Linked DNA regions of Canis lupus familiaris. The protein of the gene in region 1 binds, or shares a complex with, the protein of each later gene. Links are inferred from orthologs where the notes say so. Each region holds a gene or a part of one and is shown in the gene's direction. Other genes may lie near its edges.

The links.
Region 2: the proteins of PLXNA2 (region 1) and NRP1 are in contact, whole or in part, in a crystal structure (PDB 4GZA), measured with the Mus musculus proteins. The link is inferred for Canis lupus familiaris from reciprocal best matches to the Homo sapiens genes PLXNA2 and NRP1. Residues at the interface, in NP_032908.2 of Mus musculus: Asp273, Leu274, Phe275, Glu306, Lys341, Gly342, Gln343, Lys344, Gln345, His348, Pro350; in NP_032763.2 of Mus musculus: Glu78, Arg80, Asp81, Lys83, Tyr84, Asp126, Tyr127, Glu128, Thr129.
Region 3: the proteins of PLXNA2 (region 1) and SEMA6A are in contact, whole or in part, in a crystal structure (PDB 3AL8), measured with the Mus musculus proteins. The link is inferred for Canis lupus familiaris from reciprocal best matches to the Homo sapiens genes PLXNA2 and SEMA6A. Residues at the interface, in NP_032908.2 of Mus musculus: Ala93, Cys94, Tyr95, Pro96, Lys155, Gln192, Asp193, Tyr194, Asp220, Phe221, Val222, Pro229, Ser230, Asp231, Leu386, Lys389, Val391, Thr394, Lys395, Ala396, Pro397, Val398, Leu407, Asp408, Ile409, Asn410, Gln411; in NP_061214.2 of Mus musculus: Arg108, Met109, Lys110, Gly111, Met162, Ala163, Thr188, Phe190, Leu191, Ile193, Tyr198, Thr206, Arg208, His212, Asp213, Ser214, Glu219, Gln266, Arg267, Glu270, Lys271, Lys393.

Annotation. Positions count from the first base shown.
Region 1 is NC_049228.1:6,647,018-6,657,847, reverse strand, and holds part of PLXNA2 (plexin-A2), read left to right. Parts: intron 1-241; coding exon 242-409; intron 410-554; coding exon 555-648; intron 649-5,017; coding exon 5,018-5,257; intron 5,258-6,087; coding exon 6,088-6,231; intron 6,232-6,487; coding exon 6,488-6,722; intron 6,723-9,114; coding exon 9,115-9,257; intron 9,258-9,935; coding exon 9,936-10,204; intron 10,205-10,830. UniProt on the Homo sapiens protein: Coreceptor for SEMA3A and SEMA6A. Necessary for signaling by SEMA6A and class 3 semaphorins and subsequent remodeling of the cytoskeleton. Plays a role in axon guidance, invasive growth and cell migration.
Region 2 is NC_049223.1:3,709,128-3,719,957, forward strand, and holds part of NRP1 (neuropilin-1), read left to right. Parts: intron 1-3,100; coding exon 3,101-3,256; intron 3,257-5,748; coding exon 5,749-5,915; intron 5,916-10,830. UniProt on the Homo sapiens protein: Cell-surface receptor involved in the development of the cardiovascular system, in angiogenesis, in the formation of certain neuronal circuits and in organogenesis outside the nervous system. Mediates the chemorepulsant activity of semaphorins.
Region 3 is NC_049232.1:6,385,168-6,395,148, reverse strand, and holds the end of SEMA6A (semaphorin-6A), read left to right. Parts: intron 1-3,552; coding exon 3,553-4,751; 3' UTR 4,752-7,692; downstream 7,693-9,981. UniProt on the Homo sapiens protein: Cell surface receptor for PLXNA2 that plays an important role in cell-cell signaling. Required for normal granule cell migration in the developing cerebellum.

The DNA of each region.
Region 1 (10,830 bases):
TCTGCCCTACATTCTCTAACCCCTTTTTCTAATTTGTTCCCTCCCTCCAACCAGAGTTGAGTCTCCTATAGAAAGAGGGACCTATATCCATTGATAAGGGATCTGCTCCACTGTGTAGAGTAGGAAAGAACACTTCTGGGTCATCCACACCCTCAGACCGAGGAAAATTCGCTCTCAAGCCAGAGAGCTCTCCTCGTTGCCCAGGCCTTTCTTCACCAGCCTCCCGCTGTCCCCCCATCAGGCGGTCAATGAATGAGATCGTGTGCGTCTCCCCTCCGTCATCGAACGGACTGGGCCCGGTGCCGGTTTCCGTGAGTGTCGACCGAGCCCGCGTGGATAACAACCTGCAGTTCGAGTACATAGATGACCCCCGGGTGCAGCGCATTGAGCCGGAGTGGAGCATCGCCAGGTGAGACAGAGGTGGGGAGGATGCGCCCAGCTGCCACCTGACATAACCCCTTCGGCCCTGGGGGACTTGTGCAGGGACCCAAGCGTGGCGGCGGTTAAGGGTTTGAGAGAGCTTGTCACCTAACCCATCCTCTGCTTGTTCCCAGTGGCCACACGCCGCTGACCATCACAGGCTTCAACCTGGACGTCATTCAGGAGCCAAGGGTCCGAGTCAAGTTTAATGGCAAGGAATCCGTCAACGTGAGTACGCGCTGGTCTACCTGGCCCCCCACCCCCACCCCCCTAGCCACAGTTGTGTGTCTGCATTTGCAATGAGCTGAGGTCCGTGTTAGAAGGAGCATCACCCTACTGGAGAAGAAAGTGAGCTCAAGACCCTGAGCCTGGAGTCACGGCCCCAAACGCCTGAACCTTACAGTGACGGCTAACAGTCACAGTATAATCATTGCTCCTTGGAAGGCAATAGAACGAGCTGATCAATGTACTGGCTCTTGAGCGTGAGACACAGCACGAGAGGGCTCCTGGTCCGTGCCATGGTCACTCTGAGGTCCGATAAGAAGCAAAGTGGAAGGGTGAAGAAATTCGGCCTCCAGATCCAGACGCTTCTGAATTGGAAGCGGGATACTGCTGTTTATTAGTCATACAACCGTGATCCCATCATTTATCCTCTGGGATCCTCTCTCCTCTGCCTGTAAATGCGAATGATAAGACTCTCCTCGCAGGGCGGTAACACGCCCGCGGCGGGCACGGGGTTGGCACCCGACAGACGTCAGTGGCTGCGTGCGGCTAGTTCCACGCCCGTTGCTAAGATGATCAGTTGAACGTTTTCCTTTACTCCGCTATGCAGAGCCATGTAATTTAATTTTTTTTTCCTCTACGGGTTTTTGTGATTTTTAGAGAAGTTCCTGATCATAAAAGCGGAACGTCTGAGATGTCATTATACATTTTTTTGGTTTGTTCTAGTGGCTCCATCTCAGTCTTGTTAGCCAATATTTTCTGAAACATTATTGTATTCATAATTATAGTCCAGGAGATGCTATTATGGCCATTATTTGTCAGATAATTGCTATTATTACTGCTCTGACCCCAGGGGATTGAGTAGGCTGTGATAGAGATGGTAAAGACGGTACTGTATCTATCGTCTTCTCCCTGACAGGTTCCCAGCATGCTAGAAGCTTCCTTAGGAAACACAGAAAGGCACAAAATGCATGGTGTTTGAAGGCTAGATCTGGAAAGGTTACAGGGATCCTCTGGTCCATCCCCCTTCATTGTCTCGCTGAAGAAGTGAAGGCCAGAAGGGAGTAATGGCTTGCCCGGAACTATGAAGGTAGCTAGCTGGTAGTAGGGTCACCTGGATCCCCCAAACCCAGACTCTTCATGACTAGACCACGTGAGATGCTGGCGATTGGGTTGTGACATTCCCTCATGGCAGAGATGTGGGGACACCTGTATCACACCTTCAGTGGCCACCATGGTCGCAGCTCTTTGGGCTGAGAGACCACATGCCTCCTTATCCCAAGTGGAGAGTCTGATCCATGAATAAAAGAGCCTATGTCTCCCTCCACTTCCAGACTGAGCCCCGTGTTCCCAGTAGCTCACAGACCATCTTGTCCAACTCCAAGGCCTAAGTGGGAGGAAGGAAGGTGAGGGTAGAAATGGGAACAGTGCGCTCACCCTCGGGAGGGACAAAACCCCTACACAAATTAGGTACGTGTTTTAAAACGTAGGTTCTGTTATGACTCAGGTATGTCAAGGCCAACAGCATAGGAGACGACTGCAGGGAAGGGGGTCTGCTATGCCCTGGGGTCGGGGGTCGGGGCAGGTGGGAAGCATCAGTGTGGGTGTAGAAGGGGGGGGGAGAGGGAGAATAGGGCACTGCGGCAAGAGCCTTTATTATGGCTTCTGCAGGAAGGAACCCACCAGGCAATGTAAGCAGGTTTAGGATTGCCCGGTCAGAATCATTTCTGAGGGCTCTGGGGCTCAGGGGCTGTCCCTAGCTGCCCGGTACTTGGCCTGGTCTGATTAGACATGGTGGGTAGTTGTTCAGAACGTGGAAAAGCAGGTGGTCGGGGGTGTGGGCTCTGGTTTGATTGGTTTGCAGTAGAACAGTGTGCCCTGGCAGACAGGCAAGTTGTTTGCTGTCTCTAGGCCCTGGCTGGCCCTGGGAGGGGACGGCCCCAAATGTCACAGCATCAGAAATACAGCAAGTATTTGACATGGTTAACGTAGGACAGAGTACGTATGGGACTGACAAGGTTAACCTCCAAAGCCTGCAGCCTTAGTGCCCAGGGAAGCCGTCTGGAGAGAAGACTGGTCTGGGAAGGCCTTCCTTGGACCTGACATCCATCTGGAAAGGTCCTGATGTGTCCTCTCCCCTCACCAGGGTACACTAGTGGCCCCGGATGGGAATTTCCCGAGCAAGTCCCCCGGTGCCCATCCCTCCCATCATGCCATTGAGAGCCGGGGGTGGGGGTGTCTCAGCAGTGAGCTGCCCGGGGTGTGCAGGCTGGCATGCCCGGAGGAGACGCCTGGACGAGTGGTTGTCACCTTCCCTGTCTGGAGCGGTGGGAAAACAGCGCCCTGCCCTGCAGGCCTGCTTGGGGCCCGGCTCATCCTCAGCCCATCCTCAGCCCAGGGGGGCTACCTCTTGCTTCTGGGTTTTGAAGCAGCCCCCGGGGGTGGGGGGGACTAGTGAGAAGGGCCAAAGCAAAGGCCGCAAAACCCCAAGGAATGTTTGGCAAACAAAGTGCCGAGGCAGCACCAGGCAGGAAGCAAACAGAGGCTGCTTGTTTCCGAGTGGTTTGCTTATTCACAGTCCAGTCTAGGGCGCTGGCAGGAGTGCGCACGAAGGTGGGGGAGCAGAGTGAAGAGGCCCTGCCCCGAGTTGCCCAGGCCCTGAGACTCCCGGGTTCAGCCCTGCCCCTCTGAGCGTACCCACCTGTCCCCCCTGCCCCAGCGTCCCCAGCTGGAGCACCGAGGGGACGTTCGTTTCCCAAGGGGCTGCCGCAGTCGGAGGGGAAAGGGTAGGAGCGGGCCCGGACCTCCAACAGGACCCGAAGCCCCCTGCGAGCTCTGCTGACGAAACGCTTCAACTCCTTCTGGAAAGTGGGGGTTAATCCTTGGAGCTCTGACATCATCTCTGCGCAACTGTCAGCTTTTCTGCAGTTTCACACGAGGTCTTGTTTTCAGAACATGAAGCCCGTGTGCGTGTGTGTGCGTTGGCCAGACTCACAACACGTGTGGACCTGCCAGGACTGCACGTACTTGTGCAGCCGAGATCTCCCAGATGCCCTTGGCTGTCGCTGGGACACCCGGAGCCCGAAGCGGGGCCTGCTGAGTGCAAGCCAGGCGGAGTGGGGGGGAGGCCAGGTTTTGTCCACCAGCCATACAGGGGTCCCGTCGTGGTTTCTCTAGCCTGGCCGCTGCCTTAGGCAGCCCTGGAACTAAACCACCAGAGGAGGGCATGGCACCACTCGTGCTAAGCAGGGGCCAGCTCAGCTAGGATTTCAGTAGGGACACCGGGGTCTACCCAGAAAGAGAGGATGACTTTTTTTTTTTTTTTTTCTTTAATTGACTTATTCATGAGAGACACAGAGAGAGTAGCAGAGACACAGGCACAGGCAGAGGGAGAAGCAGGCTCCACGCAGGGACCCCAACGCGGGACTCGATCCCGGGTCTCCAGGATCGCACCCTGGGCCAAAGGCGGCGCTAAACCTCTGGGCCACCCGGGCTGCCCGAGAGGACGACTTGAACTCCGTGGTGCCGAGCAAGGGAGCACCTCGTTGCAAAAGAGAGAGCTCCTGAATAGAAAGTTCAAAGAGCTGAAGGATTCTTTTTATTCATTAGTGTATTCAATAAACATTAACTGAACACCTACTACGTGCTGGCGGAGTGCTCATCTCATGCTGTTCCCTGCTCCAGAACACATGCACGCGCGCGCACACACACACACACCTTACACTGCTCCTGTCCTGCTTTGCCTGCAAACGTTCTGTGCTCCGTCATCCCCAGGCCAGGCCTCTGCTGCTGTTCTGTCCCCCTGTGGCCTGTCCCCACACCCCACCTTTCCTTGTCTAGCTCAGTCCCACTCGTTCTTCAGATTACATTACACTCAGTTCTTCCAAGGGACACTGTCCCTGAGTCATCCTCAGGCCACGGCCGTGCACACTCACACACACGCAGGTCCTCCTACCCTACCTGGTCCTTGCCCACTGGGGCATTCCTCACACGCAGGCCCCGTCTGCACTCCAGGGCCCCTGCCAAGACTGCGTTATAAAGCACGTGTGGTCCTTTTTCTCCCCCTGCAGACCGTGACGATGTCACTAGATGGCCCCAGCTCCTAGCACAGCCCCTGGCACAGAATAGATGCTCAAACAATGCTGGTGAATGAATGAATGAATGAATGATGTTAAATGCAGCCCCCCCCCCCCCATTTCACAGCTCTTTTTGCCAAGGGGACTGATCCCTAATGAAGACAGCTAAGTAACCCAATGCTAACAGCCCACAGCAGAGGGTGGGAGGTGGTAGGGTGACACAACCACCCCTACCCCCGCACCCTCCACCTTACCCAATGCTTAGTCTGCATTTAAATGCCATGCTCTGGGCCTCCTAGGTGTGCAAAGTTGTGAACACCACCACGCTGACCTGCCTGGCACCCTCTCTGACCACGGACTACCGGCCCGGCCTAGACACTGTGGAACGGCCAGATGAGTTTGGATTCGTCTTCAACAACGTCCAGTCTTTGCTCATTTACAATGACACCAAGTTCATCTACTACCCCAACCCAACCTTTGAACTGCTCAGCCCCACTGGAGTCTTGGATCAAAAGCCAGGATCCCCCATCATTCTGAAGGTAGGATGTGCAGAGTGCAGCCTGCCACACGCCGTGATGGTGACAGCCCCCTCCCCGGCCCTTCTTGTTCACCCCCCTGTGCACGCGGACTCACAAAGCTGCCATCTCCCTGAAAAGGGAGCTTGTTTATAGATATCGACCCACTCTGTGATATATCTCGCACTTGGGATTCTCAAGAAACACTTTACAGTATTTCTGTTTGTTCTTGTGAGCTCTGGGACTCCAAAGTTCTGCAGCACATTGGAAGTAAACATTCCCTTTTATTGACCGCTGCCATGGCCACCATAACCTGCGCTCACATTTCAGGAGGTCACGGTTCCCTGGAATTATCCGTCCGCCTGTTTTGTTACTTTCGTTTGTATCCCAAGTGCCCTCCTCCAGATTTTCACTTGTTCACCATTTGGTCTCCTCTTCCTGTCTTCTTCCCCCATCTCGTCCTCCCTTTCTTCCTCTCCTAGCATTTTCCCCTCTGGCTCTCTAAATTGTGGCCGTTTGATGTTTTCTCCAAAAACGTCTTGGGGAGGGATGCCTGGATGGCTCAACAGTTGAACGGCTGCCTTCAGCTCAGGGCATGATCCCGGGGTCCTGGGATCAAGTCCCCCGTAGGGAGCCTGCTTCCCCTTCTGCCTACGTCTCTGCCTCTCTCTTGTGTCTCTTATGAATAAATAAATAAAATCCTAAAAAAAAAAAACTCAAAAACTTTTTGGGGAGCCATCTATTGGTTTTTGCATGGCTGCCCTTCCCCCACCACCCTAATCTTTTTTGGAATAAGCAATTAACTTCTGTGTGCATGTGTCCATTATTTCTATTAAGATTACTGTTATTTGCAGGGCAAAAACCTCTGCCCTCCTGCCTCTGGAGGTGCCAAACTCAACTACACGGTGTTGATTGGAGAGACCCCGTGTGCTGTCACTGTGTCCGAGACGCAGCTCCTCTGTGAGCCTCCCAACCTCACGGGGCAGCACAAGGTCATGGTGAGTGAACTCTTCCTTTCACGACTTCCTCCTCTCCTGGCTGTGCATGCATGATCTGTCCTAAAGTAAGGCCGTCCGTCTACCTCCTGCATAGCTCCTCGTCACCGTGTTCTGCATTGAAATGGGATAAAAAGCAGGAAGTTGTCTCTTATCCAAGTCTGTATTGTGTGGTTGTGGTCTTTCATGCCCTTTCTGAAACGTAAGGATTCGATGGCATGCCAGGGCTCTACAGCGTCTGTGTGTGTGCAATGCACAGGTTCACGTGGGCGGGATGGTGTTCTCTCCTGGCTCGGTGAGTGTCATCTCAGACAGCTTGCTGACCCTGCCAGCCATTGTCAGCATCGCGGCGGGCGGCAGCCTCCTCCTCATCATCGTCATCATCGTCCTCATTGCCTACAAGCGGAAGTCTCGAGAAAACGACCTCACTCTCAAGAGGCTTCAGATGCAGATGGACAACCTGGAGTCCCGCGTGGCCCTGGAGTGCAAGGAAGGTAAGTGGAGGCGCTCCCTCGCTTCCTGGACCCATCTTTCTTCATCAGCCTTATTACCTCCTCCCTACAGACAACTCACCTCGATAGTCATTCCTTCCACCCTAATCCTCTGTTTGCCCACAGGCCTCCCTTTGCCTTTAGCACCAGAGAAGTCCTATTAAGGGTGCCTGCAAGGAGTGGTGGTGGTGGGGGGTAGTGCTCAGTCAGTTGAGCATCTGACTCTTGATTTCAGCTCAGGTCGTAATCTCAGGGTCGTGGGATCAAGCCCCACATGGGGCTCTGTGCTGACCATGGAGTCTGCTCAAGATTCACTCTTAAAAAATTAAAAATTAAAAAAATAAAAGAATGCCCAGGGTGAGGCCCCAGGCCTGCTCATCTTGCTCTAGTCCTTCCTGTGCCCTGACTCACCCCCAAGTTGGCCCCCTGACTCTCCCTTCCAGGGCCTCTGTCTCCCCACAGACACAGCCTCCCAGGCCAGGCTCTCAGACCCCAAAGACCCTTCCCTCCCCCCACAAAATGGAAGTCCAGCTCCTGTGTCCTGCGGAGCTGCCCCAGGAGCATGTGCAAGCAGCAGCAGCAGCAGCAGGAAGGGCAGGGAGCTCCCACCTGCCTCCTGCCTCGCCCCCTCCCCCAGGCCTTGTTTCCCACCCCTGCCACAGGCGGAGGGCTCTGAAGGCCGCCACTTGCTGGTGTCCTTGGCCACGGATGCATGTGAGAGTAGAGAATGTTTTCTTCTATCTCCCACGCAACCACAGCCTCGAGGTAACAGGTATCCCTGGCATCTTCCTCGGGCTGAGGACCTAGCAGGCTCTCTGAGCAAACATTTCATTGAGGAATGAAAACATTTCTCCTTTTGCTGCAATCGTCAGGATCAGAAACAAGACCTCTGCTGGATGAAAGGGAATATAGGGCCGGGGCAAGGTGGGGAATGGCTTCTCCTGGTGCTGGGGGTGCAGGGGGTGCATCAAGGGCACCCCCAGGCTGGGTTTGGCATTCTTGGTGTCCTCTGTGTGGGTGTTAAAATATACATAAAATTTACCTTTTTAACCTTCACCGTCTAGACACCCCAGGACTCTTCCTTCCTCTAGTTCATGGGCGTTAAGTGCATTCACGTTGTTGTACAACCATCCCTACTACCCATCTCCAGAACTTTCTCATCCTCCCCCGCTGAAACTCTGGGCTCATTAAACAAAAACCCCCACGTCCCCACCCAACAGCTGCTAGGCACCCATCATGCTACTTTCTGTCTCTGAATCTGACTACACTAGGGACCTCGTGCAGCAGAATCATACCGTATTTGTTCTTCTGCATCTGGTTTACTTCACTAAGTCGTAGCATGTGTTAGAATCTCCTTCCTTTTCAAGGCTGAGTCATATTCCATTGAATGTAGGGACCACTTGTGGTTTATCCATTTTTCTGTCCACAGGCATTTGGGTTGTTTCCACTTTTCAGTACCGCAAATAATATTTCTACGAACACAAGTATTCAAATATCTAAGTCCCTGCTTTCGGGTCTCTTGGGTACATACCTAGGAGTGGAATTGCTGGATCCTCTGGTAATTCTGTTTCTTTTTGGAGGGAGCCACCACACTGGTTTCCAGAGCAGCTGCACCAATTTACATTCCCATCAGCAGTGCACAAGGGTGCCTGTGTAACCACATCCTCTCCAATACTTGTTGTCATCCATTTTTCTTTAAAGAAAAATGTGTTATTCATTTATTTATTAATCTGAGAGAGAGAGAGAGAGTGCCCACATGTGCATGCACGAGGAGGGGGAAGGGCAAAGAGAGAGGGAGAGACTCTCAAGCAGACTCACCCGCTGAGCACAGAGCCCGACTCAGGGCTTGATCTCAGGACCCTGAAATCATGACCTGAGACAAAACCAAGAATCGGCCTCCTCATCAACTGAGCCACCCAGGTGCCCCTCCAGTTTTCTATAATAGCCCACCCTAATGGGTGTCAAGTAGTATCTCATGTTCATTTTTGTGCAGGGTTTTTGCATCTTGATTTATTCTCTTGCTTGAAAGAAAAGGGGAGCAAAGCTGCCCATTCTCATCTCTTCTTCATCCGCTTGGTCACTGCCTGCCTCCCAGCTGTTTCTGGAACCTGCAACCCCATGCATGCCCCAAATCATACTGTTCTTCCCTTTGCTTTGTTTAAACTACACTTACAGTACACAGGCACGTCCAAATTATGCATCAGCATAGAAGAGGACATAACAGAAATCGCCCACATGCCCACCACCTAAGAAAGGAGGCCTGGCGATACCTCACCCCTTCTGGAGATGCATCCCTACAACCCTCCCTGTCCCGGCACCCCAGGCCCACCCCTCCTTCTCCTGCCTTTCCCCTGGGTGCCCTCCTGAGCCCCCTGGTCTCCCTGCACTTTCATAGCTTTTGCTGAGCTCCAGACAGACATCAATGAGCTGACCAGCGACCTGGACCGCTCAGGAATCCCCTACCTGGATTATCGAACCTACGCTATGCGAGTCCTGTTCCCTGGCATCGAGGACCATCCCGTGCTGCGGGAGCTGGAGGTAACATCTGCCACCCTTCCCGAGCCACCCAGCAGGAGCACAGGGCCTGGGTGTCCTGGCAACGCGGATGGGGCTCCAGAGCTTAGAGGAAGGTCAGGATCCGGGAGGGGGGGCGGGGGGGAGGAACAGCCGGGAACAGCATCGCCACAACAGGCAGGTCACGGCCAGCGGGGTCACACGGGCTCTTTGGGATGATTCCAGCTCATTGTCATCTTTTTAATTAATGACTAAATTAATTAACTAAGAGTGTATCGCATCCTCAGATGGATTTAAGGTGGCTTAAGGAAAGACACATGATTCTGGGAGGTTTGTTTGTTCGTTTGTTGGTTTGTTTTACGAAAGATAATAGATCAGGGCAGAGAGGATTAAAGGGAGACTCGTAAGCCAGGCAAGTGTGGTGGAGCATCTCCTAGTATCCCTGGGAAAGTCAGACGGCCGGCACCCCACGGACGGCTCAGCCTGGAGCCAGGCCTCCCAACCCCGTGGACGGGCGGGCACACCGGGGACCTCGAGGCGGGCTGTTCCTCCCCAGACCGGGAGTAGGGGGGTGGGGGGGAGGTGGGGGGGCAGTTATAGGCATCCCGGGGAGAGGCCTGTCGCTCTGGCCAGAGGCCCCCGGGGAGAGCCGGGCGGGGAGGCGGGAGGCGGCCTCTGAGGGCGCCCGGCCGTCCCCCCCAGGTGCAGGGGAACGGGCAGCAGCACGTGGAGAAGGCCCTGAAGCTCTTCGCCCAGCTCATCAACAACAAGGTGTTCCTGCTGACCTTCATCCGCACCCTAGAGCTCCAGCGCAGCTTCTCCATGCGCGACCGGGGCAACGTGGCCTCGCTCATCATGACCGGCCTGCAGGGCCGCCTGGAGTACGCCACCGACGTCCTCAAGCAGCTGCTCTCCGACCTCATCGAGAAGAATCTGGAGAACAAGAACCACCCCAAGCTGCTGCTCCGGAGGTCGGCCCCGCGGCCTGGGGGCGGGGGGCGGCGGGGAGGGCAGTGGGGGTCCCCACGGGTGCACGACGGGCTCCCCGTCCCCCCTGTGACCCCACGCACCAAGGCCTATCCGGCGGCTCAGCGCCACGGAGGAGCCCGGGCCAGGGCTGGCAGCTGGGCTGGAGCCCCAGCTCCGTGACCCCGAGCCCGGGTGCGGCACCTGGTGAAAGCGTGAACCTCGGGTCCCCCGTGGAGCCGGTGCGCCCCGAGGGCTCAGTCGCCACGGGCCGGCCACCCTGCTGGACACGCGCTCAGAGCATTTCCATCATCCCAGAAGCTTCTGGGGGCAGCGGGGGGCTGGGCCTGGGTCCGGCCCACCTCTTCTGCACCCCGCTTCCGGGACCCCAAGTGACCGGCGGCCACCACCTGCCCCCACCCGTCCCCCGTTGCCATCTTCACTGGCAGGGGAGAGGGCTGGAGCCCTTGGCAGCCGAGCCCACCGTCCCTGAGGCCCAGGGAGCAGAGCAGAGCTCTGGAGCTCCCCACCTGCTCCCCTCCGGCCCCCTCCTTAGCCCACCCGGAGCTCCCAGCTCCCAGCCAGCGAGGTCTCAGGCTGCCAGACCCCACGTGGGCCCAGGAAGGAGGAA
Region 2 (10,830 bases), on another chromosome or scaffold:
AATACCGTATCACCTTCACACCTGAAAAGAGGATCACTGGGGGTCTACTGTCCCCACCATGAGATTTACTAAGGCCGTGTTGCTTGCTTAAATTTTTCAATAGTGCAATTTTTGAGTTCTACTGCTGTTTTTGTGACAGTTTCCATTCATCTCCTTGGCCTTTGAGTCTACAATGACGGAAGTAGGAAATCCAATAGCCGTGTTCATGTAAATACACAAATGAGCACACACAGGAGACGGATAAGAGTACTCCATCCACTCTTGCTCAGATCAATATTGCATTAGCTTGCTAGGCTAAGGTCTTGCTGTTGTTCAGGAAAATTCAATACTTCTTTGTCTTATGGTCGAAAAAGCCTTTTCACTCTCCTGTCTTGAGGGCTCCTAAAGGGAGTTGTGCGCTGCTGTCCGCGGGCAATGTTCTGAAGGACAGAAGGCAGATTTACCCAGCATGTCTTCAACATTATAAACCAGTGAGTCATGGAGACTCTCTAAATTATGAGTCTGCATTAGACAAGTTCTCTTCTGTTTGCTCTTTCAAAGAGTCTCCCTCTACCCCCCTTCCCCAGAGGAATGGGGTGGTAGTGGAGGGGAAGAATCTGCAGTCACAGCTTAAGGGGGCGAGTACAGCTTCCCTTGTGCTCTTGTATTCTCTGAAGGGTCAATGGCTGTGGGGGATCAGAGAATGGCTCCAAGGTTTCGGACTTTATTAGTTTGCCCACAAACTAATAAGAAAGAAAGAAAGAAAGAAAGAAAGAAAGAAAGAAAGAAAGAAAGAAAGAAAGAAAGAAAGGAAGGAAGAAAGGAAGGAAGGAAGGAAGGAAGGAAGGAAGGAAGGAAGGAAGGAAGGAAGGAAGGAAGGAAGGAAGGAAATAAAGAAAGAAAGAAAGAAAGAAAGAAAGAAAGAAAGAAAGAAAGAAAGAAAGAAAGAAACCACAATAATGGAATTTAAATGAGGGAAAGGAGTGAGAGTCTATGAATGGACTCTAGGATTCTCATTATGATTACAGATCAAAAATGGGATTCTTTTTGAGGAAAGGAAAGATCTGAGCTCACGGCTCTAGCATGATATTTTCATGCCTGTGTCATGGGCAACTTTGTACTCCAGAGGGAAGAAAAAAAGTATTGAATCTATTCAGAATGAAGAAAATCTGGCCTAGAATTAACACTTGTAGAGGAAGCTGAGGCTCAGGTTAAAGCTGAAGAGAAACAAAACTGAGAGTTTCACCTCCTGAGATGCTGCCAAGTGGGAAGCTTGATAGAACAACATTTTCTTCCTGTGATGCAGAGCCATGGTTCATGACCATGTGGCATCCTGTAGATAATCTTATCGATGTCCCAATGGGCTCATGTCCTTGTTTCTTCATGATAAAATGGTCTACACACACACAGTGTCAGGTTGCTGGAGCGTGAGGAGTTACAGTAGAGAGAACTCTTTGAATTTGATCAAATCAGTTACTGTGAATGCATGGAGAAGTTATCAGATATTCAAAGTAACCATTCTGCGCTAACTCAAATGTGGAAACAATTTGGTTGTTTTTTGTTTGTTTATTTGTTTGTTTGCTTGGGGGGTTTTTTTGTTTATTTGTTTGAAGTGGGTTGGCCAAGAACTGAAAACCTGTTCACCAAGCCTCTGACTATTCTAGAAGCAGGGTGCCCAGCCCAGCCAGCTGCTTACCAAGAACTCAGCGTGTACACGCAGCTCCAGGGAGATCAGCATTTAGAGCTTCACTTTTTCAATCACATTTGAAGCTTCTCCTCCCCATCAGCTGCCTTCTGCATCTGAGTCACACACACAGGCCTTGGCACACCGTGGCCCTGCTGTAGGCCTGACTCTTCAGAGAGGAATCCACCCACTGTGCTTCCTTGAACAAAGCAATAACTCTTAGTTGAAATGCAGAGAACCATGGGTTTCTTGGAGGGGAAAATGGTCCACACCAGATTGTCCTTCTAAGCCCAAACCATCTGGTATGTTTTTACCATATGTGCAATTAAAAAAAAAAAAAAATCTGGAGAAAAAGGGATTTTTTTTTCTTTATCTTTTTTTTTTTTTTTTTTTTTTTTTTTGCCTTGCTGATGATCTGGACAGGAATTGGAAAGATTCTCCAAGCCCAGAGGGCTTGTGCACTGTCTGTAAGGCAACTTAAAATTACTAATTGCCAAGGTTTATCTAAAAGCACTTCAATAAAGGGGTGGCCCACTTAAACCAAACAGAAGTCTGACTTAATCACAAATTAATCAGTGTTTCCAATCTTTCACTGCCCCCATACTCCTTTTTTTTCTCTCCCAGTATGCCCAGTCAAATGGCTGCATTGGGCCATCTTTTGGCCGCAAGACACAAGTGCAATGCAGTCACCTCTCTTAGATTTGGGAAAGAAAAAAACTGGGAGAGAAGTCAGACCCATTTTCTTTTCATTTTGTTTTCAACTTATTATTATGTATGAATTACTGATCTATGTAGCTTCTATTTGTTTTAACTGTTACAATTGTTAATTAGCCTACAGTTAGAGCCCTGCGTAGGACATAGTACATCATCCTTTGTCCAAGTCTGTGATGTTATTTATGATAAGTCTCCAGGACTAAAAGATGAAATGAGGAAGGATGTTGGGGTCATTCAGTGCTGGATCAGATTCTCGGTACTGGTCCAGTCCCATCCAGCACCAGTTCCTGAGATCTCCTTCCAGGGTGGGAGAAGTAAGTGAGGCAGCTGCAGGAGCCCGCGGTCATCACAGCCTAGCAGGAATCTTTCAGCACTAGGTGTTGTGCACACTTTGGGCCTGGAGATGAATGTTCAAGGTGCCCCTCGACAACCCAAATCTCATTCTTTGCAGTTGAAGCAAGCATTTAGATCCTGTTCTTGAAAACAATCCTGCTCAAGGGGGAATGTAGTTAGGTCTGTGATTGCCCTTCTGAGCACGCTTTAAAATCCTCTCCACAAACCTGATCCAATACTTGCACTGCAAACCCATCAACCAGGGAAGACTTGCTTTGGATAAGAGAACGCTTCTGGGTTCTGCTGGGACCCATGTTTGCAAATGCTTATTCTCACATCTGCTGGGGAACAAAAGATATTTCAATGTTCTCCGCATTGCTCCCTTTCTAGTTGGCCCTCACATTGGCCGTTACTGTGGACAGAAGACACCAGGTCGGATCCGTTCCTCATCGGGCATTCTCTCCATGGTTTTTTATACGGACAGTGCAATCGCCAAAGAAGGCTTCTCAGCAAACTATAGTGTCTTGCAGAGCAGTGTCTCAGAAGGTCAGTATTTATTCATCTTGCAAAGCACTGTGGTAAACACTCCCTGCTAATCCTCCTCACACACCTCGTGGCCACAGGAAACACTAAAGAAATATTTTGTGAACTGGATTGCCAACTATTTGTTTTTCTTTTTTATTTATTTTTTATTTTTTTATTTTTTTTTTATTATTATTATTTTATTTATGATAGTCACACAGAGAGAGAGAGAGAGAGGCAGATACACAGGCAGAGGGAGAAGCAGGCTCCATGCACCGGGAGCCTGACGTGGGATTCGATCCCGGGTCTCCAGGATCGTGCCCTGGGCCAAAGGCAGGCGCCAAACCGCTGCGCCACCCAGGGATCCCTGTTTTTCTTTTTTAAATGGTTTTGATGAATATCAATAGGAAAAACTATTTGGTATACTTTCTTAAGAAAATTGTAGATGAGAAGGCTGCTTGTAAGCCTCTGAACTTATGGGAGAAAGTAGGAAATGGGCAAACAGTGCCCAAAAACAATGAACTATATAGCCAGGCCATCTGTCTGGCTTGAAAGTGTACTGGGCTGAGATCATAAAAGGACAGGCATGGATAAGAAGAGATAGGAACAAATCTGTGGTGGTTTATTGACAGGGCAGCCTTACCGGATAGATGCAGACTCATGATGGTTCAGGTAGTGAAGACCCAGACAGAAGCCATTTTGTTTTTCTTTCTTATGTGAATAAAAGTAGATATTTGTATAAAAGAAGCATGTTTCAATTTCTGTTCTAACTTTTCCACAAAAGAAAGAGGAAGTAATATGTTTTGCATCTAATTAAAATATTGAACAAACTCAACCCTTCCTCAAAGTTTATGTGATGGTGTCCATCCCTTTCAAGAGCCCAAGAAAAACATGAGAAAGAACAATGAATAAATTGTGTGTTTCAACAGTTCTAGCTGTCAGGTTATAAAGTAGCATAGGTTAGAGACCAGGAGATGTTTGGAGATTTGTCCTACAGACTAGTATCTTTTTTACTATTCTTACTGGAAAATAAAAAGGCCAGGTAAATTACAAAATCTTATTTGGACTTCATATGATTAATTAATTAATTTATTTTTGTGTTTATAAATATTTTATATTACAAACAAACTTAAGCTTAAAAGTATGGAACCTGTGAAAGGGACCTTTAATTATCTTAAAACTTTATCTGTTATGATAGAAAATTCATGAAGTGTGAAAATTTGCTTAATTGAGATTTTTCTCAATGGTTGAGAATCTTTAATCTCTAAAATACTTTTTTCACTTTAGTGCTTCACATTCACATTTCCTAAAGGTGACTATTCACTTCCCTATATCATATTTCACATCAATGTCATATTTCATTGTTTCACTGAGTATATGGGGCCTAATGGAATACATGCTTTTGTGATTCATAATCATCATTGTGAGAATTATTATTTTATGTTGTAAAGCTGTGGTCCTCTTTGGGACCATATGATGCTGCAGTTTACTTCTGACAAATATTCCTGTATTTTATTTTTTTTTATTTTTTTTTAAACTTTTATTTATTTATGATAGGCACACAGTGAGAAAGAGAGAGAGGCAGAGACACAGGCAGAGGGAGAAGCAGGCTCCATGCACCGGGAGCCCGATGTGGGATTCGATCCCAGGTCTCCAGGACCGCGCCCTGGGCCAAAGGCAGGCGCCAAACCGCTGCGCCACCCAGGGATCCCAATATTCCTGTATTTTACTAATATAAACTAATGACATGAATAATCATGACCAGGCCAAGGTCAGGAGACATGAGAACAAAGGGAGTCAAGGAGAGGTGGCCCAGGTGCCAAATACAAGGAATCTGAAAGACAGCGAGCTAAGGTCTACTGTCCACTGAATATGGATTATAAATAGACATCGAGTCTTTTTCACTTTTATTAGGTATTGAAGGAAATAGTAATTTTTAAAAAAATATTTTACTTATTTATTCATGAGAAATAGAGAGAGAGAGAGGCAGAGACACAGGCAGAGAGAGAAGCAGGCTCCATGCAGGGAGCCTGATGTGGGACTGGATCCGAGGACCCTCGGATCACACCTTGAGCCAAAGGCAGATGCTCAACCACTGAGCCACCCAGGCACCCTGAAAATAGTTAAAATTTTTAAATTTTTAAATAAATTTTATTTAAATATAGCTTTCAGTACGTATCCATGTCACATATCTACATATATTTAACTTTGAAAATAAGTCAAAATTCCCATTATTTCCTAATACATCTCTAATAGTATTTCTGTCAACCTAGGTCCAGTTAGGAAAATAATTAATCACTATGAGACTTTCATAGCCTTGCATTTAAAAATTATCATTATTACAATTATTGCCACCTGTCACTGCTATGTCCCCATAAGTCCTTTTGCTGTCATCTTCTGTAAGACACTGTGTGAACATCAAAATGAATGTTTTAGATTGCAAGATTATAAAAAGAAATATGCATCTCAGGTCTCCTTTGTTTTGATGACATTTGGCTCCTTTTTTTCCCTTTCAGATTTCAAATGTATGGAAGCTCTGGGCATGGAATCAGGGGAGATTCATTCTGACCAGATCACAGCTTCTTCCCAGTATAGCACCAACTGGTCTGCAGAACGCTCTCGCCTGAACTATCCCGAGAATGGGTGGACTCCTGGAGAGGATTCCTACAGAGAGTGGATTCAGGTAGGCAGCATGAGACTTGGCACATATAGGGTTGAAGATTTTGGTTGTCTAGAAAGGTTGTTGATAAAAAAAAAAAAAAAAAGAAAGGTTGTTGATAAAAATGCAGTGCCATTTCAGACACCTTCAAATGAGAAGAGAGGACCAATGGGTAATCCCTGCAGGATCATCGTGTCCCTACAATCTTGAGAAAAGCAGCCCAGCTGATGTCTCTGAAAACTCATTTATTTTCTCAGATACTTTTATACAACTCTTCAGAGAATCTGAGCACAGATGTCTCACTTTGGTAACAACTAAAAGATCTAATTTTTCCCCACAACTACACATTTTTCTATTCAGACACTAACTCCTTCAACAGATTTTTATTTTCTTGACGAAATACATTAGCTCTAGCAGACTCGCATGAAATAATTGCATCTAAGGATAAGGTTTCTTATTCGTTTGTTTGTTCCGAGTAGATGAAGAGAAGAAAGGGGTTGAGGTTGACTTTTCCATACAGGTATACATGGCACATGCCCAAGAAAGCAGTCTGATTGAGGGCACTGGTCTTGGTGGATTATGTGTATACATGTACCTATATAATGTACTTGTATAAAGTGGACACATCTGTATTCTTATAATGATGTTGTTTCTGCTTCCCCCCTTGGCCCTGGCACTCCCTTCCCTGCCCTTGCTCTGGCATTCCCCAGAGACCCTCCTCCTCTGCACCATGACTCCCCTGCCCTGCCTCATCTCTGGCACCTCTCCTAATGCCTCAACTTGTGCCAGCCTTGATGTCTGGATACTCCCACCCAAGGCCTGATGCTCATGTTCTTGACTTTTTCACCCCCTGTCAAATGAAACATCCAGATCTGGCTGTGTGGGTTAAACAGTAGGCAAATCATACAAAGCTATTTGCTGAAGGATCCAGGCATCCTTTTTAGAGAGTAGGCAAAGCTTGTCTTACGTTCGTCGCTAGATATATAAAAATGACTAATTCCCAGAGAGAGTTTCTAAGCAAGAAAAAAAAACAAGATGATTAATCCCGTACTTTTTACATCTATTGCTGCTTCAGTCTTTTGAGTACAAATACCAGATTTTGCTTTACTTTGAAAAGGTCAATATTAGTTTAACATACACTTAAAGTGAAATGGCCTATTACAGAAGACTGAACTCCTGCTAACCTGTAAATGATAACACGGAGAAATGTGTAGAGGGTGAGAAAAGATGAGACTTTTACCTGGGGATTGCTAAATCCAGCTCTAGATTTAGTCAGAAATTAAATGAATTTGCCTTGGTAACTTGTTTTTCCACATCCCACACCTACCAACACCAGTATGATTGACAGACGTGCCTCTAGAGGAAAGCTTGCATTTTGTAGTGCTAAGCATGTCTGCACAGTAAGGCAGGCCTATTCTTGGTGATGTGGAGAGTGCTGGATAATTTAGGGACAGTGATCTTGCAGGGGTTCTGAAATTGCAACTGTAGCAATTCTTCTGTGCAAGGCAATTCTGTCAGGAGAAACATGGAGGCAAAATGGGCTCTCACAAAGCCTTTGTCCACAGGACGGGATTCACCTCATTCTCAGGAGTTAGGCAGAAGAAAAAAATCTGAAATGGCTCAACTCTTTCCACCAAAGCATAGAAAGCAATGGTTGGGAGAAGCTAGGTAACTCCACCCCACCTCCCAACAAGGTTTGCTTTGAGCTCAAACTTCTTGCCTGCGTCATCTCTAATGGGCTGACGATCCACTCCACATCTCACACCAGGACCCAGACAGACAGAGTGGCCATCATCTCAAACATTGCTTGTCACCAAGCAGAGGGAAAACGAGAGCATGGCCATCGTGCTAGCTCTTAAGGTCCCCTCGAAGAGCATTGCCACCCATTTTCATTGCCAAAGCACATCCCACAGCCATACTTAGCTTCTGAGGGGCAGCAATTCAGTGTGCACTGGAGGGAGGAGAGCTAGAAATTGGATGAACAGCATGAATGACAAGTGTGCCATTCATAGAATAGTCACCATTTATTGAGTGTTTACTGTGGGGCCTGACTTCTGCTGAGTACTTGACATATTTGCATTTAATTCTCACAGCAGTCCTGTGAAGGAGGTGCAATTATCCTCATTTTAAAAATGAGGACACTGAGATTCAGAGAGATTAGTAAATGCCCAAGGTCACAGTGAGTGACCGGACTTGGAAGCAGGGTCTGTTAGACTCCCAGTACCTGTTTCTTTACACTTCAGTCTTCTCTGTCCTTATCATCTGTTACCTTGCATATAAATTCAGGTGCACCTTGTGACTTGATTCCCTTTATGCTTTTCCTTGGGAGAAGACACACAGAGAGAGACAAGTTGGGTGCTTTACTGTTTCTAAACCTAAATATTCAGGGCCTTTATGGCTCCTCCATCCCTACAGAAGATGAATGCCAGAGAAGCTTAGCTTCAGTGCACCTCGAGGTAAAATTATCTTTTGCTCCTTGTGGAGCTCAATGGGCTCATTTCCATGCCTGTGTCTGTGTACATGGTGGGAGTTCTTATCATTCACCTGTCACCTAATTATGAAGAATTGCATATGTTTCCAGCTTCTCTGAAACTCCTTGGAAGTGGTTGGCTTGTTGTTTTCTTTGGGTAGGTGTTTTAAATTAACCAACAAGTAAAGCATAATTGAGGCTAAGGGCAAAAGGCACATACCTCCAATCACAGAAATATTAGTGCACATATATTTCTATTTATACACACATCAGTATGCAAATGGTATTTGTTTTCTTTTTCCACTTTTTCACATTTTGCACGAAATATACCCCACAAAACATGTTGCTACAGCAACAAGGACAAACACTTGCATGTGTTAAATTAATAAGTCAGTATTGGAAACTGACTTTCCTTCAAGACAGGAACAGTCTTGGGTTCCCATTGTTTTCTCTAGGAAATTACTGAGTGACATAAAAAAACAATGCGTCGTTAACCGTGGGTATGAACGTCCACACTGGGGCTTCCTGTGAGATCTTTTGTCTGCCAGAAAGCTTAAAAACAAGTCAAGAGGCAATTTAGTGGGAAGGGGCATAAGGGAAGTCCCGACTCAGAGCTGTGCACATGGTCATATCCTGCTCAAAAGGCCACTTCACATCCTGAGCAGCTAAAACCTCTTTAATTGTCCACAGCAGAGTTAATCACACTGTGAAATTTGCCCACGTTTTTCAGTCTTCCATTCTGTCCTGTGCCCTATGGCTGCTTATCTTATTATTAATGTAATCTTGTTCTTCCTTTTGTTTCTGGTTAAACAGTCAAGGATTCAAAGTGGTGCTATAACAATTCTTAATTTTCAAGCACATCATTAGAGCCCCAACCATTAGCTTCATTGAAGCTGAGTCTTTTTCCCTATAAAATAAAGGTACTGTAGGCTTCTCCATTCAAGCTCTAGCAGTTCACGGTACCGTGAATCTTGGAGAAATGCAGTCTCGGTTTTTCTTGTCCTCTCTGCATACTAAATGCATAGCGTACTGTCTGTTCAAGGAGCATGTTCTTATAGTTCCTAAGTGTAGCCATTCACACACAAAACAGAATTTAATTCGTTAATTATTTCAATGTTTTATTAATGACAGTGTTCACCACACTGTAAACAGATTTATCCTTCTTGGTTTAATTAAAGCTCTTGGGAGCAATTTCCTCAAAACAACTGTGACTTTTCCCTGATTAAAATGCCAGGAAACAAGGGGGAAAAAAAAGGCAAGAGATATAATGCGTGGATGGGATATGAACTTTGTTGGTCCAAAGACATAAAAATGGCGCTAGGAACTAATCCATTACCACACCTTCCAGTGACTTTAGAAACAGAATTACTTGATTCTGTTCTCCAAATTTGGAGGCAGGGCATTGTCTTTCGTAGGTAAATTTGGGATTCTAGATTATTTATGTGCTCACTTATTCCAGAGAAGCAGAAAGCAAAAGCGGTCGGTCCTAAACCCTATCCTGCTTGGTTTGGTCAGACAGCCTTCTTATGGATCAACCACACAGAAGGAAGCCTCATGAAGACACCCTGTTGCTCTAAGACTACAAGACATCTGTCTATACTACATTTCCTAGTACAGATGTTCATTCTGAAGTATGAGGAGGAGGAAAGTTCTAGAAAAGTGGAGTTAGTGCTAACTTTATGAGGAACCTTGGTTCTGTGTTTTCCTTTTGCCATATATGTATTTCTCTTGGATAATATTCCACATTTTCTAACTGAAGGAGCTTTGAAAGAAGACATCAACAATAAAAGGCCTCAGTGGGGAAAGGAGGAGTCTGAACTGAGTCAGAACACACTACAACACCACACACACGCTCAGTCATGTTCACTCACAACTGTAGTATCAAAGACAGTTGGTGCCCGTGTTCACCTTCAGTATGAGAAGCTGGTCAAAACAGGAGGAAAAAGTCAGGCTTACACAGGTGAAGTGAGCTTCCTTCCTCAGATTTGTGAACGGAGTCAATGGGCACAGAGAGATCTGGAAGGCAGACAGCCACTGGCAAATCATTGCTTGTGGTCAGGCCTGACAGGCCCAGCATGCAGCTGGCCTTTGCGTAGCTGTCTGACCATTTGAATTGTGAGTCTTTTCACTTCTCACTGTCTCAAATGAAGTAAGTGGGTCGATTGTCTCACACCACTTCTACAGAGAAAAACGACACTGCTGAGCGAGGTCGTGAGGCTTCCTGGGCCACAGAGGAGACTGTCATTCAAATAGCCAGGTTCCTAGAACCCCCAGGCCCAGGAGCTTTCCTCTAAACCAGGAGGTTCTTTGAAGTTCATTGTCCATAGGCTCCCCCAACATCCCAACAGGGCTGTGAACTGTAGCTCCCAACAACTTCCAGAGTGGTTCTGTCATCATTGAAAAATGGAATTAATAGTTATAGTTTACTGAGAACAGAGACAAAAGGTAATTTAAAGGCATAGGCTTGAT
Region 3 (9,981 bases), on another chromosome or scaffold:
GCCGAAGGCAGGATTATCTTCACTAGGAGTCTAACCATAACCGCTGTGTTTTGCTCAACATTTCCTGCTTTTGTTGTTTTACTTCTTTCAAAATGCAGGACATATAGGCAGTCCTGAGACAGAGGTACATGTTCCCTTATGTTGCCTCAGCATATCCCTTCAACATTTGGACAGCACAGGGTTTGGAGCTGGGCAGAACAGGTCTATCCCCCTCCACCAAGAGACTCACAGTAAATGGAATCACATGGAGTAGCTGTGACTATTAATCTTAAGCTTTCAGTGAGCTACTAACCCACCGCTTCTCTTTCGAGGCTTCTTTTGACCTATAGATTTGTCCAGCAAACTAAAGCATTTAAGTTCTTTCTTATTTGTTCTGTATTTGCTTCTGGCAAGAACCCAGTAAGGCATTAAATGTATTAACCCCACATTGCAAATAAGGAATAACTGAGGCCCAAAGATGAGAAGTCACTTGCCAAAAGGTCACCCAGCAGTAACTGGGAGCCTAAGACCCCAGGCCTTTGGAGATCTCTAGCGCTGCTTGCACCATCACCCACACCCCGCCCTCTCTGACAAGACCATTGTGTTCAGTCCTTCACAGTGACCAATGTCACAAAGTGGATTTAATCATTTCCATGAATGGCCCTTCACCCTTTTCAGAAATATAAGCAGAAAGCTTTAAATTTGGAAGGCGTTTTCCAAAAACCACTTGTAACTTATCTTCTTCAACTGCACTTTCAACTTAATCTCTGATCTGTTTCTGACTCTGTACAAGGGATTTCTGAATTTGCACAAGCAGATGAGAGAAGCCACCTGCTTCGTGGTAGGTATCTCAAAACTGAAGAGATGCAGGCTTTTAAGACCACTATTTACATAACAAAATGAGATGGGAGGGGCTGTCTGAGACACCATTTTTCCGTATCCTCCTTGATTTGTTAACAACCCAAAAACCTGAGCTCAAATGTCATCTTCTAAAAAAGTTTTACCCAGTGAAAGAGCGAGTGGTCTCCATGAGATTAAGATAGTCAGAGACCTTAAGACAAGAAAGGATAGCTAAAAGTAAAGAAACAATGGATAAACTTGAAATTTTTGCAGTTTTTCCCAATTAAACAATGAAGGAAACAAATGGACCTCTTTAGCCTTAATCTTTCCCTGTTCTTCTTAAGCTGAGAGGTCAATTTAAATTATAAAATACCAAAGTCAATTGTAGAAAACTACCATTATAAGGACACATTTATTGGGAAGACACAGCGCCCCCCCCCCCATTCCGTGCAAATAGGGCTGCCAGGAGATGATCCATGAAATGCCCACTGCTATGAAAACTTTACCTCGTACGTAACCCCCCACCCACCTGCACTGGGGAGGTCTACCCTGTGGTCAGATTCCATGGAGATTGCCAAGTCAACGCGGGAAGTTCAACTCCTTTTATTCACAGGTGTACATTTTTGTGCCATTGTACGTAGGTGGTTAAAAACGTTCAATCCAACCCCAAACCATCAAAACTGAAAGAAAATCAGTTGCTATTTTAGCATTATGGCAAGGAGATGCAAATTTAAGGGAGAAATTTTCATTAGCACAGTTCCTTGGTGACTAGGTATTAAAACATATTTGAATGCAAGACCCCTCGCCGTTTGGGAAGCTCCACGCTGTACAAGGTGTGAGTTCTAGCAGAATTTCCTGCTGTTTTTTAGTCCATTTCTACCCCTCAAAAGTTCATGAATATAAATCTGGAAATATTTGAGAAGTGTCACATTTGGAAATTATTCAGGGTCTTGCCATCTTACACATTCTTTCCCTGGAGGTGAACTGCCTGCCCTGCCCTTAATTACCAAGAGCATTTGTTTAATCACAGAATCTTTGTTTCTCAAGAGGTATTTGCTGCTTCTATTTATTCCCCCTAAAGTCACAATCCTTTGTCACAAGACAATCATTTCCACAGCAACCAACTGTGATGTCACAACTGAGGGGAGGAGGAATGTTTAGAAAGAAGAGAGGATGTTCTCTTCCACAAGCAAAGGTTTCTGAGTTCTAAAACGACTGCTTCCCTAATCAAAATATTTTAACGGAAAGACCCCATGATCAAGCTGCATTTCTTTGAGGTCTCAGCTGTGACATACGAAGCATTTCAGAAGTTGAGGGGCTGCATGTTGTGGCTTAGGAAGGGGTAGAGATTTTTATTTCATTTCATTCTAATTCTGTGCCAGTGATATCTGCCAGTAAAATACATTAAACATATTCCAGAAAGAGTTGATTTAGCAGATGAAAAATGTGTCTCCTGAGACCAGAGAAGGTACATTTTCTGTCTTACTATCATTTCCATAATAGGAACAATGTTTACATTTCCTCAGCCCATGCAGTGCCTCTAATGTATTCATGTTCTTTCGCTCTCCAGAGGCAGGAATTGAGGTATTTGAGATTTTATTTTTTAGCTACCGCATCAAGCACTTAAGATCTGACAATCGTGATGTGTATTCTCACTTGGTATTAAAAAATAAAAGCCTCAGTGTTTGCATTTGATTAGAGTCTCTCAGCTTGGAGGCTGATTAAGCAGGAACAGGGAAAGCAACTTTCTTCAGAAACACAGCATCTTGGTTAATGTAGTGTAAGATTATTGACGGGTGTAGTCACATAATTTTTATTAAATTGATGAGGTTAGCTCTCCCGAAGAATCTCACCGTGACAGCAAACTCTAGCCATAATAATGAGTCCTGACACGTCTCAAACCCACGACAAGGCCCCAAATGGCTCTTCTTTCTCTAAATAGTCATTCAGTTCAAGCAAGGGAAGAGCTTCATTCAGATACTCAGCATATTTACCTGAAATTGAGTGTGCATGGGGTTTGGGGTGGTGTGGTGGTTTTTTTGTTTGTTTGTTTGTTTGTTTGAAGGATGATACAAAATCAGCCTAAACATTTGTAATGTGAGCTTTAGCTGTTTTCTTTCACTGTAAATGACACAAGCTGTCTTTCCTCCAGTTGCCTGAAATGCAAACATAGCTTTTCTCCAGATAGAGGCCACAGTGCCCACAAAGAAGTGGTCAGAAAAGACCCTGGAAGCCTGGAGCATTGTGCCATTTGTTCATTTATTGGACATAAAACTGTTGCCTCTCCCCACCCCCACCCCACCCCAGACTCCAAGTATTTCCACACTCTGAATTTTATGAGGGGAAGATTGAGAAAAGATGAAGGAGAGGGGGAGGAGGGAATAAATTTTGGAAATGAGAAACTGTCATATTCCATAGACTGAAGCAAAGTCGAAAGAGCATGTGCTTGAGAGGGTGGGGGTGGGGGTGGGGGTGGGGGGGAGAAGCACTTTTTCAGAACACAAAGGCGGCCACAAACCAAGGCTGTTTACATACTACCCGGGTGGGCGGGGTGGGGGGGCGGCTTGGGGAGGATTAATCAGCTGATGTTTGGCAAGCTGCGCCCCAAAACAAGTTATGCGGAGGTGCTGTTGTCCCTCACTGCTCTTACTAATGAACGGGGCGACCGCCAAGCAGAAATGAGCCTCCCCGTGTGCTGTGGGTTCTTGACGCCGTATGCGATGTCTGTTGCAGGAGTGATTCGGGAGAGTTACCTCAAAGGCCACGACCAGCTCGTCCCCGTCACCCTCCTGGCCATTGCGGTCATCCTGGCTTTTGTCATGGGGGCCGTCTTCTCCGGCATCATCGTCTACTGCGTCTGCGACCACAGGCGCAAGGACGTGTCCGCGGTGCAGCGCAAGGAGAAGGAGCTCAGCCACTCGCGCCGGGGCTCCATGAGCAGCGTCACCAAGCTCAGCGGCCTCTTCGGGGACACCCAGTCCAAAGACCCGAAGCCGGAGGCCATCCTCACGCCGCTCATGCACAACGGCAAGCTCGCCGCGCCGGGCAGCACGGCCAAGATGCTCATCAAGGCGGACCAGCACCACTTGGACCTGGCGGCCTTGCCCACCCCCGAGTCCACCCCGACGCTGCAGCAGAAGCGGAAGCCCAGCCGCGGCAGCCGCGAGTGGGAGAGGAACCAAAACCTCATCAATGCCTGCACCAAGGACATGCCCCCCATGGGCTCCCCTGTGATCCCCACGGACCTGCCCCTGCGGGCCTCCCCCAGCCACATCCCCAGCGTGGTGGTCCTGCCCATCGCGCAGCAGGGCTACCAGCACGAGTACGTGGACCAGCCCAAGATGAGCGAGGTGGCCCAGATGGCGCTGGAGGACCAGGCGGCCACGCTGGAGTATAAGACCATCAAGGAGCATCTCAGCAGCAAGAGTCCCAACCACGGGGTGACCCTGGTGGAGAACCTGGACAGCCTGCCCCCCAAGGTCCCGCAGCGCGAGGCCTCCCTGGGCCCGCCGGGCGCCTCGCTGTCTCAGAACGGCCTGGGCAAGCGGCTGGAGATGCACCACTCCTCCTCCTACGGCCTTGACTATAAGAGGAGCTACCCCACGAACTCGCTCACGAGAAGCCACCAGGCCACCACGCTCAAAAGAAACAATACTAACTGCTCCAACTCCTCCCACCTGTCCCGGAACCAGAGCTTTGGCCGGGGAGACAACCCGCCGCCCGCCCCGCAGAGGGTGGACTCGATCCAGGTGCACGGCGCGCCGCCGGCGGGCCAGGCGGTGACTGTCGCGCGCCAGCCCAGCCTCAACGCCTACAACTCGCTGACGAGGTCGGGGCTGAAGCGCACGCCCTCGCTAAAGCCGGACGTACCCCCCAAGCCCTCCTTTGCCCCCCTTTCCACCTCCCTGAAGCCCAATGACGCGTGCACATAATGCCAGGGGAGGGGTCAGGTGTCGAAGCCGCGGGAGCGGCCGGGCGCGCCCAGCCGGCGGGGCCCTCCGCTGCCCGAGCCCCCACGGAGCGGAGGACGCCGGCTCCCGGCCCGGGCGCAGCGGGGAGGCGCCGGGCCCCCGGGCCCCCACGCGGGACTCCCCTCCCCTCGCAGGCTCCGCTCTCCCTCACGCTGCGCGACAGGTCGGACTCACGAGAGACTTCAGCGATCATCACAAACACGAGCCAAAAGCACACCCCCCCACCCAGCCACCCGCGCGCGCACACACGCACACACACACACACGCGCACACACACAGGTGAACAGTGCCCGCAACCTTCTGTCCGCGACTGTGCGGGGCGCCGCCCAACAGGGCAGGAGCCCCACCTGCAGACCACAAACACGTTTTTACGAATCATGAAACGCAAAAAGACAGGAATAAAAATAAAAAGTAAAGAATTCATTGATAATTCTAACTCAGACTTTAACAATGGCAGAAGTTTACTATGCGCAGATACTGTGAAATGCCCACCAGTGTTACAGCTTCCTGTTCTGAGCAGACGATGCCGCGTTGGGCAACCAGGTCATAGGTTTCTGCTCCTCTCTTTTAATGAAATAACGTGACCGTTAACGCAAGTAACTCTTTATTTATTGTTCACCCTTTTTTCCTTAAGGAAAGGACTCTTCCACATGCCATCCTACCAACGGCTCTTCAGGAAGCCCCTTGAAGGTTAAACTATTTAACGTGAAATCCATTAACTGGAATAATTGAGTTTATTTTTACAATAAATTCACTGAGTAAATAAGCTGGAGCTGGAATTCTGAGCTTTGTGTTTGGACTGTCTGATCTCTGGCTAGAGGAAAAAGTTGCGAGGGGAATGAATATTTATTGAAACCAACCAGTTAATTTGCTGGTCGGGTCTCTGGCCTCTAACATGCAAAAAATTAATTAGCTTAAAAGTCCTTCCAGATCCTAACTTCTTAACGCAACCGGGAGAGGAACTCTTAGAATGACACATCCCGCGGCCCATTGCTGCCAACGTGGCTTTGTCAGTGGTTCCTACTTTCTGTGAAGGCACCAGCTTGTGAAACCCATCTCATTTCACCTTGCATGTGAGACCGCAAACAAAATCCACTAAAGGTGTGAACTAATTAATATGCTGGCTGCTACCTTGCATAAATTAATGGTTTGCTCACACGGGTTTTTCGTGGGGTTACATCTGTGAATAGCCTCTTTTCCACATGTAAATTTGTGCCTTACACCCTGAGTTGTGTACACTTGTAAACTGTCGTTATGATAAACTTTCCCCCGCCTTTTGAAATAAATGCAGATATTTATTTGACCCTCCCTCCCCCCACTCCCACTCCAGCCCTCTGGAAGATTCCTAGCGTCTAGCAGATGGAAGAAGAATGCAGTGGTGGTGGTGGTGGTTAGAAGCCTGCCCCCCGGGAGAGCTAGGCAGCAGCACACCCTCCAATTCACACTTCCTTCTACTCGTGCCAACTCCAGCCACCCCTTGGCCATGCCACCAAGCATGGACACCAGTGTTGAGGGTGGCAGTACCCTTTCTCCCTCCGGCGCTCCCTGCTTCCCGGTGTTCTCAGATCATTTCAACATGGTGATAGCCTCCTCGGCCAGCAGAGAAGGGACTAACGTCCCAGCCCTCCTTTCTGCCGTGTCCACTGGCTGGAGAGCACGCTGTCTGCGGTGGCCAGACACCTGGAGGGCGTCTCCAGGCCAGGGGCTCGGCACGCACGAGCACTGCACACAGAGACATGACGTGGAAGTAGATACAGGCAGGCTGGTCCCTGCTGTGATGGACGAGTAACTCCAAGTACAAAGCCAACCACGATGGATGCTGCAAAAAACGTTGACCGGGCCAGAAGATTTGTAATTTCTCAAAAAATTTCTTCATCCTTTTGTTATTATTGTTTGTAAGGGGGCGGGTGGGGCGTGTTTTTTCTCCCCCGGTTGGTTCTCATTAGCTCAAGCACACAGAAGGGACTATTGTTTACTCTATCATGAACAAAGAACTGTCAACATACTGTAAACAGTGAGCATTGTTTGGGGTTGTTGTGTTTTTTAACAGTTAAACAGTATATTTGGTGGCCTCTTTGTCTCTTTTTATTTCCAGTTTGATCTTCTGAGTTTAATCTTGTCTTAAAAAAAAAAAAAAACTTTCAAAGAAAGACTATTTGGAACAATTTTGAGTTTGTTAGTGAAAAAGTGGTACTTCCATAATCAGAGTGAGACCAGGTGTGTCGCGAGGACAGACTGGTAGCTTTGTGTTCCTGCAAACCTCCCGCGCAGTTTTGCTGTCGTTTGGGGTAGGTTTTTGTTGTTTTGTGTCGTTATGCTTTTATTCTGTTTTGTGAGCAGAATCAATGTTCACATCCTGTGAACTCTGTACCCTGAAACCAACCATAAAGTCTCTTCTAGAAACTGAGATCATTGTTTTTCCCTTCTCCCCGAATGAAGCTTGACCCCCAAGAGTATTGACCGGCAGCACCCACGCTCTTGTCCCATGGGTGGGCATCATTGCCTCAGCTGTGTTACGGAGACCTGTGTCAAAACTTCCAGCCCGCGTCCCCACCGCCCCTCAACCCATCACTTGCGGTGTTCTTCCTGAAATGCCCACATGTATTGAGCTGGTCTTTTGCATTTAAGTGTTTTTTTCCCTTTTTTTTTTTCCCCACTGCGTGTGGGGGGAGGGTCCATAAACCTGAGTGTGCCTTTGCTTTCCACCCTTGCTAGACACTGGTAGATGCAACAAACTCAGATTTATATTTGTTGTAAAGTTGTAAAAATATTGTGATGTCACCAATTTTCCTTCCATCTCCACATCCCCTAACATCTGATTCATGACGTAATGTATGTTGTAAAACAGGAAAAAAAAGAAAAAGAAAAGAAAAAAAGGGAAAAAAAAGACAAAAAAAAAAAAGCAAGGAAAAGGCTCTTTATTACTTAAAAGTAATAAAACAAGACTGTTCTACATTATCCTTTGTGTCCTGAATGTTTTTATTTATCTCTTAAGTTTTCCCTTTTGAACCCCATCCTTTGGGGTTGGAGCCTACTCTTTCCCCATCTTCAGAGCATAAATAACAGGGGGTTAGACCCATTTGTTTGCAGTACTCACACCCTGCCCAGCCCACCCCTACCCCCACCCAAATTATGGATGTATTTTCTCCCTCCACCCAGCCCTGAGCAGAGGTTGTAGCAGAAGCCACCGGTAATTAAAAGGCAGAGCACGCATTGACTCCCTCTATTCATTTTATGCATTTTCTTTTTATGGGCTTGTTCATCATCAAACATTTATGGTAGGCTTGATAGTTTAAGAGATCAAGGCTAGGATTTTAGTATGTAGGGTCCACTAAAAATAGATCCCAGCACAGATGTGACTTCAGCCTTTTTACATATTAATAAGATGGAGGGTGCTGGATTTTACTCCTTGTTAGCATTTCTTTCTTATAACCCAGAAGACACGGTGGGAGGTATATTGGGATGCAGCCCTGGATTTTTATTTTGTAGAATAGCATCGCAAGATGTCTAGATAAGGTTTACCCCCCTGGAGTATTTTTTTAAACAGTTATTTAAATAAGCCCTCAGCTACATTATTTTACTTGTGACCTTCTGAAATCTTTTTTTAAGTGTTTTCAGCAGTTCACATGTGGGAAGCTACGGGTTGGGCCTCGGTCAACACCTATAGTGATCCAGTTACCTTTGGGTATTTCCAATTACATTTGTGAATCCCACCCAGAGGGCCTGGCATGTTGGTGCAAAGTTGACTAGAATAAAGTTTCTGGTTCCTCGTTTATAAGAAAAGATGGACGGGCTCTCTGTGATTGCCACTGGGAGTTAGAAGCAAAGTGGCCAAGAGTTTGGGGGCACAAAGCTACATTTGGGCTGGTATTTTTTCTTTTTTAAAGATTTATTTATTGGAATGCCTGGGTGGCTCAGTGCTTGAGCATCTGCCTTGGGTTCAGGGCATAATCCTGGGGTAGGGATTGAGCCCCGCATCGGGCTCCTAACGGGGAGCCTGCTTCTCCATCTGCCTGTGTCTCTGACTCTCTCCCTGTCATGAATAAGTAAATAAAATCTTTTAAAAAATAAAGATTTAAAAAAAATTAAATAAAGATTTATTTATTTATTTATTTGAGAGAGCGAGCACATGCATGGGTGGGGGAGGGGCAGAAGACAAGAAGACACGCTGAGCACAGAGACCAAAATGTGGCTCAATCCTAGGACCCTGAGATTATGACCTGAGCCCAAATCAAGAGTTGGACAGTGAACTGAGTGAGCCGCCCAGGAGCCCCTGAGCTGGTTCTTTAGAATGAGTTCTCTGAACAGCTTTACCAGGCACAAGGATGTCTTGGGCAAAGTTGTCAGGTGCACTGTGCCTGGAAGACAAAAGGTTTATCGGGCCTTGAGCAGGGTCTATGAGAGAACCGCTGGAAAGAAGGCTGGGAATGGGGAGACGAAGAGGAACCTGCTTATCGTGTGCTAGGATTTTAGCTGATGGGCACAGAGCACCTTTGGAGTAGATGAAGCAGTAGACACATGTGTTTGTGCTTTAGAAGGCTACCTGGCAGCGATGTGGAAAATGGACGGGTCCAGAGAAAGGCCAGCAGGCAATGTGCCAAACGGCATACCAAGTAGGTAGGAACCCACAAGCAAAAACTCCACGTCTTATTTCAGATTCTTTAGGAAACAGAACCAAATCAGCTCTGTGACCATCCTCCCTTCTGCCAAACCGAAGATCTTCCTCCTCCTTATGCGACTGACAGGTTTGCCTGCGCAGCTCTAGCCAAATGCAATCCAGAAAGAATGGTCTGATTTTCATTTTTTAAAAATGGGGAAGCTAAGATCCATTGAATGAAAGGATTTGCCCACGATCCCAAAGCTGATGGTAAAACAGCTCTTCCAAGAACAAATTCATTGCCTCTCACCCCCACTCATTTACAACATGAGAGCAAGACTAGCCAGGAAGATGGGACACTCCTCCGTGCAGACAGCATCTCATCTCACTCGGGGAGTCCTTCCTCTGGGGGAAAGCCCTGAGTACATGCCTCCCCCTTCCCTTGTGGGGCATCCCAAAGGCTTTCATCTGGGCTGAGTCAAGGGGGCGGGCTGGAGCCCGAATCTCACTGGTTGGAAGCCAGACAATCCTTGCAGTGTAACCCGATTCCTGTTATGGTAGCTTTTGCTGCAGTCAGCTTTGTTCTGGTCTGGT